2 linked regions of the Kluyveromyces lactis genome follow. The protein of the gene in region 2 purifies or fractionates together with the protein of the main gene of each other region. This does not show direct contact. Links are inferred from orthologs where the notes say so. Each region holds a gene or a part of one and is shown on either strand. Other genes may lie near its edges.

Region 1 (3,293 bases), on a different chromosome or scaffold from region 2:
ATATATATGTTCTACATCTTATTTAAGTTCATCGTCATAGCTTTGACTGAAAAAAAAAAAAAGAATGAGTAATTTCAGTCCACATCGCATCAAATCGCAAGTGTAAAGGAAGCAGTGTGCATGAAACCGTTGAAGTGCATCTGAGGCAAGAGAAGTGATACAGTGTTATGCTTCGAAGAATGTCAGAACTGGTTTCGAGTTTTTCTGGCCTTCACATTGCTTCGGCTGGTTCAAAATCGGTTGTGACTCCAAGTGATAATGCGGACCTTACAAAGGGTGGTAGAAGGAACCAAGCATTGACAAAACCGATCACCATCGATAGTAATACAGGAGAGGTACTGGTTAGGAAAACAACAGGTAAAACGAAAGTAAGAAGAGGTCAGAGCGCGGAAGAATATAAGGAACAACTTAGACAGTATTTCTTGGAGGAGAAAGGTCCAACGAGAACTGAGGAAGATGCCTTGAAGATGGAAGATTTTGATCTGTTGATTGAAGATGAGAGTTTTGACTATGCATTGAAGCAAGTACGACAGAAAATGGTCTCTTATGCTCAGAAATATTATTACGAAAGAGATTACATGAAGTGTTTAAAAGTATCAGAGCCGTTATTGCATAAGTTCGAGCCGTTCAATAAGAAAAACAAGATACGCAGAGAGTTAGAAGAACTCAGATACATGATCGAAAAGTCAAAAGCAAGGTTGGAATTGCAACCGTCCCGCTAGTATTTGATATGTCTACACTGAAATATCTATGTAACTCTATATTAATGTGCGCTTCCCATACTAATATTGATTACGCAATTATACAGGACTTATACGCACTTCAACACCGCTCAAAGTACGCTTTGTCAGTTCCGTTTCCCTGTCCTCTGTTGAAACCTCATTTCCATCTTCATCTTTACCATCATCAGCGAATACCTCATCCAAAACATCTAATGTCTTCGTTAATATGTCAACTTTGTAATCACCCATTGTATTGAAGTGTGCAGCAACTGATAGAGTTTTGAAAACAGCTTTACCCATGCCCAGTAGTGTAATGTATTCACTTTTACGTCTATGCAGGTTGGAAAGAAACCTGTTGGTTCGTTTCACCACGGAAATGTAAGGCGATGAGCTCTTCACGTAGATTGTAGTTTTAATTTTATCATGAGAAAACGTCTTCACTGTCGGAAGTTTTCTTCGTAACTGATTTAAATCCTTAGTATTTCCCATAACGTGGTGTTGTAAGGTTTTTTCGAACGCCCACGAAGCAGATTGCTTCTCTTGTCTTCTTAGAAAAGCCGTTTCTCTTGTTCACTTCTTCAGGCCAATTCAAAATCAGAGACTTTAATTAAAAGGAAATATAGATTACAATACCGATTGTGCAAATAACAAGTAAAGGGCAAGAAAAGAAAACGGCGTCTGGATAAGCTCAAAATCGGTTATTAGTGCATACAATATTGTTCAGATGTACCATGAGCAACAAGAAACTTCATGTCAGATTTGTTTCTAAATCGAAATCAGTTAATCCCCCATATAAACCACAAGACTTAGAGCCCATTACAATTGCATGTCTTTATAGATTATATCCTTGGCTCCTACTGCTGGACCAGTTATTGGATAAACTTATGTGGCATATTGACGATGTTTCCTTACAGTTGATATATATTATATTGCTATGTTACTCAACAGCGTTGGTTGTACCGAAGAATACTTCCTTACTTTTCCAAGCGTTTGATATATGGTTGGGGTACACAAGCGTATTCATTCTTGCTGGCACTATGTTTTATTACAATTATACGCTATGGAAAGAGCTTGAACAGAGCGAAGCACCCACAATAGATGAAATCACTCATACTTTGGACTCTGTTCTTGAGAAGCTTAAAACGGTTCAAAATGAAGTCCTCGGTACAGACAAGGTAAGAAAACTTACTAATATCAATTCACAAACCTTTAAGATAGTGGCTCTTCTGACAGTAATTCATTTAATTACCGTTAGTTTTTTGGATGTACGAACATACTCAGTGCTTGTCATTAGCCTTGTCTCCGTGTTCCATTCAGTGTATTACCAGAGCACGATGAAACTCCTATGGAGGTATTTGTGGATAAGGCGATGTTACTATTATATATGGGACAGCGTACCATCGGAATCCAAACTGGAAACCAACTTTCAACAATACAAGGTGATTTGTGAGAGTCAAGTCATTCCATTCCCTAAATCTCTACAAGGCTTGAAGGGCCAAGAGCTACAGGTTCAACTACAAATGTTAATCCTTCAGGATCCAACTAAGATTGATCCAGAATCCGATTACGTACACGTCAAGATCATCGAATACAACGTTGATGAAAACGAGAGAAAATGGAAGCAAGAGGGCTGGACCCCAAAATTGCTACCTTACGAAAGAGCTCACTTCTCTAATTCATTCACCCAAACTCCATCTGTAACACCATGGAAGTTCCACGAAGAACTACCTTCCGATTGGATCTGGATTGAATCTACTTGGGTACCCGGCAGCTGGCAATACTGTGATGCAAAATGGAATTTATTAGGTGCGAACGATTCGATTGCATGCTTCACTCGTAGAAGAACTTGGAAACGAAGAGCGTTCAAGATACTAACCTGAAGTTGGTCAAGTGGAAACTCCGTTTTTGGCAGTCGAAGTACAGCTCGAGAGTGTAACCACATATATATATATATATATATGTATATCTACGTAGTTTTGTAAAATGTTGCTGGATACATGTAATCACAATTTATTTATACATGTATACTCACATCACTGTACTGTCAAATAGGGTGCTAAGGATCTACGACTGCTATCTCATCTTGTTTTCTGAACCTTCCTTTCATGCTTTTTAATCATCATCACCGATTATGGCAACCGATACTCTAAAAAAAAAAAAAAAATCCCAATGAAGAGAAGCATTTAAAGTTTAGACAAGATAATAATCACGGAGAATAATACACAAATCAACATTGACAATCGTCAATAAGTGCGTATCAAAACGCTGTCGATAGTATCCTGCATAAGATCTATATTGCTGTGATGATACGTATAGCACCACCTTTGAGAAATGTCAGATATATATTTACTGCCAAGCCAGTGCAAATGACTTTTGAGGGCAACACCGAGGGGGTATACGGAAGTGAGGAGGAAAGGATGAGATCTGTATTCGGGGGTAGACTTAAGGGCGAGCCTCCACGTTCTACTAGTAGGTTTTTGACCTCGGAGAATATGAGAGAGATAGCTGGAGTCAAGGTACCGTCCAAACCCATAGAACCAGACAACTGTTGCATGTCCGGTTGTGTCAATT
Region 2 (3,761 bases):
CAACTTTCAACGTTAACAAGTTGTAAGGGTAGTCTAGAGAGACACTAATACTTTCTTTAATACCATATCAACTGTTTTTTTTGGAAATTCCACCAATCGTCTGTTTCAACCCATGGTGTGGGGTAAGTACTCTTATTGAATTGAATTTAAATTGAATTTGAATTGATTTAATTACCAGCACTTTGTACTGGCAATTTTTACCTGAGGAACGAACCATCCAGATTGAAATGAACAAACTCGTCAAATAAGTTATAATAAACGCATACTTTTTATCTGCATTCTTTCATTGATGAGACGATAAGATTACTACTCTAATGATGATAATACAGCTTGTATTAAGCGTCCAGTGGTAGGTTTTTTTTACCTGTGTTAATTGTCTTTGCGAGCTTTTAAAGTTTTATTTTGGGCTTCACAAGGAAAAATGACTGAGGTTATACACAGTATGAATTTTCCCTGGTATTATTAGTACAAGCTCTGTTATATCGTCATTATCACTGCATGATTATTATCTCATCTATTTTTTTTATTTGTTTTTGGTATATATGAGTATATAGGTGTGCTTTAAGCACGCTATTCGATACGAGTTGGAAACTCAGGGGACAGGCATACTTCGCTGTGAAATGCTACCTTGGAGTATCGTCGGAAGATGCAAGATTTGATTCGGTGACCCTGGATTTAAGATCTCCAGATGTGTCTGTTGAACGTTGGAAATTCTCATTCGGACTTTCTTCTATCACTTCAGAGTTATCGTCTGTTGTTTTATTCTGATCTCCCTGTTCTTCAGAACTGGCATCAGAATCACCTTCCGTATCCTTTTCGTAGGAATCATCAGGTATGATTCTTACGTCACTGGTATCACTAAACGATACTTTCCTTTGATTCGATTGAGAACCTGGTTCTTCTATCCTTACGCTTTTCCTCTTCTCTGTAGTATTTTCATCCGATGAATGAGAGTCCGACAAATTTACCATTGAGGGCACTGCACCAATCTTGATCAATTCTGCAGTTCTAATCCATCTACGACGTCTGGTATACTTAGAGAATGAATCCTCTGTCGATGGTTTTTTCCATGTGTTATCGTAGTAAATGAAGCCATCATCCGCACCAGGCGAAGCAGTAGTCTTTGGCCTCGTACTAGAGAGTTGGATGGCTCCATCATTGGTCATGTCAAGTCTCCATGTCTTATCCACCCATCTCCATGCCATACCGCTAGCCTCTTCTGGAAGTTTAAATTGTTCTGGAGATGGTGCCTCGTTTAAAAACTCATCTGTCCATGAACTTCTCTCGTAAGTCAACATGTTGGCAGTCCAGCCAATACCGAGCCAACGTCTCTGGTTCTCATATAATACATAAGTGAATCTAATGGGTTTCCCATCATCTGCATCGGTTCCAATCGAGCTCGATGAAAGATTCTTGACTTTCTTATGCACTGCAGCGAAGATTCCACCTTGATGCTTGTTAACACCACTCAAATCAAGACCGGTTATGTAAAAGACAAGTAACCGGACAACCTTTAATTTCCACAATAATCTTCTAGTGACTACAGACCATGATGAATGGTACGTGAGCACGTAAACACCAGCGATCAATACCAATTTCTGTGATGAGAAGATGAATATTGACACAATTACATAGACAGGCGAAAGAAACGCCATCGTCAAAAGTATCCGCTTAATATCGTTTCCCGTCCATACGGACAAGGGCGAAAGTAATAAATCAGCCTTCGTGTACACACAAGAAATGATATGCACAATGTCATCTAGTGTAGGCTTTTCCTTAATGGTAGTTTCCACAAAAGTATCCAAAGCAGAATATCCCCATAACAATCCGACAAACAAGAAATGGCCAAAGTACCTTACCACCACTTGGAAATACAAGATTACTGCGATGTAGCATATAACCATCAATACGCTCTTCCAAATATCGTCGCTAGTCCATGTTAAGAGCCCCAAAAACTCATTGCAAACAACCAAGTAAGGATAAAGCTTTACTAATGCTTTTGACACAGTAGGAGGCGTGCTGTTCAACAAAGGAGACGATTCCACGCCATTGCTGTTCTCAAAGTTTGTTTCTCTTCCACCAAGTTTCTGTTTCTCTTGCTTCTTCAATGCACTACGTAAGGTGTGGCTAGCCTTCTCGCTTAACTTACTCTCATCCTTATCCGTATCCAGAAACTGAGCCCTAGTTTCGTTAATGTCACTCATGTCGTTCTCACTGGCAATGATTAACTCTGCAAATTAAAATCAAATCACAAAAATCACAGCCAATATGAAACAATTGCTTTACCAGTTGAATGGTAGTCCTTCTGCTATTTTTTTCTGTCGTCCTTTGTCCCTTTCTTCGTAAAGGTCAGTCTTAACTCAATCTTTGTTCAAATCCTTTATTTTTTATGTTGATAATATGACAAAGATCACCTGAAATACGGTTACATTATTAAAAGACTATGTCATCGCAGGACAACTACGGACCAAAGAGGACCGTTAAGTATACTTAAGCAGTTGATATATGTTGATATAGTGGTAAAGGTGTTGGTTATATTGTTTTTTTTTTGAGTTTTCATGTTCAAGAAACGAGTAGTGAAAGGTTCCAGGGATAGCAAAAGGAAACGACTTGCAGATGAGGCCGTCGCATCTGACCCAGTGCTGCCGAAAGATACCGGAAAGACCGCTGTTGCTGAAGCACAGGTTGAGGTTGAAAATGAGGATAAACGTGCTTTGTATCTAGCAAAAGAAAGAGAAGAGCAAGAACAGGAGTTGGAACTCCGAAGGAAGGAACGTACGGTTTTAGAACAGGAGATAGACGAAGATATCGAACGGAAGGCAAAAGCCAAAGTTTCCGGGTTTGTCAAGCCAGTAAGCAAAAATATGAAAACGGTTACAATCACCGATTATCAACCGGACATTTGTAAAGATTTCCAAAAGACTGGGTACTGTGGGTACGGTGATAGTTGTAAGTTCCTACATTCCAGAGATGATGTCGCAGGTGGATGGAAACTCAACACGGACTGGAAAGTCGATGAAACTCAGGAGAAAGAGGTTCTCAAAGAGTTGGAAGAGATACCGTTCAGGTGCTTCCTTTGCAAAAAAGAATATACATCGCCCGTGGTAACAAAATGTAACCACTACTTTTGCAGCTCTTGCTTCATGAAGCAGATGAAGGTCTCAACAAACTGTCCTATATGCGGGAAGGAAACGGAAGGTGCTGCTAAGATGGCTACCAAATTGAGAAAGTTGTTAAAGAAGACGTGAAATAGTTTAATTGTTAAATGTATGGATAGAGTTAATAACTATATTTAAGGCAAATAGTGGTACATAGTTGTATTATCGAAATCCCTTTGTATGTACTCATTATTCAACAAATATTCGAGACTCATCTTAAAAAGACTTGGGCTCATTTCAAATAGTGGTATTGACAGTGCGACTTTGTCTTGAAGTTCGGAATGGTAAAGCTTTCTGTCTTGTTTCATGATCCTTGTCACAGCAGCATTGATGACACTTAGTCGAGAGTCCAGCAACTTCTTTTCCACACTTGACCTAGTAGAATCATTGGTAGCGTTTGGTCTAGTGTTCATTAATACCATTAACACTTTGACTTTTCTCTGTGGAGCTGTGAAGCCTTGATTGATGGAGAACATATCAGTATTGGATATGGATTTGCCAGGCGGACTCTTTTGCAAGATTTTTGTTTTTGGTGCAACAGACATTGAAATCAAATTCTTTCTCACTTCTTGCTGGGGTAGATTGGTCAATTCCACTATCTCA

What was found.
Region 1: the proteins of KLLA0_C18238g (region 2) and PEX32 purify together in Saccharomyces cerevisiae (affinity purification with mass spectrometry; 3 studies listed by BioGRID, with this or other methods). This does not show direct contact. The link is inferred for Kluyveromyces lactis from reciprocal best matches to the Saccharomyces cerevisiae genes PEX30 and PEX32.

Annotation. Positions count from the first base shown.
Region 1 is NC_006041.1:2,186,824-2,190,116, reverse strand, and holds PEX32 (Pex32p), read left to right. Parts: upstream 1-1,453; coding exon 1,454-2,602; downstream 2,603-3,293. Other genes in the region: KLLA0_E24685g (uncharacterized protein), read left to right, coding at 168-722; ribonuclease P/MRP protein subunit POP7, read right to left, coding at 801-1,211; DPC25 (Dpc25p), read left to right, coding at 3,026-3,293.
Region 2 is NC_006039.1:1,610,753-1,614,513, forward strand, and holds KLLA0_C18238g (PEX28-32 family peroxisomal membrane protein), read right to left. Parts: upstream 2,205-3,761; coding exon 624-2,204; downstream 1-623. Other genes in the region: RPL38 (60S ribosomal protein eL38), read left to right, coding at 1-26; U2-type spliceosomal complex subunit CWC24, read left to right, coding at 2,559-3,248; cullin CUL3, read right to left, coding at 3,293-3,761.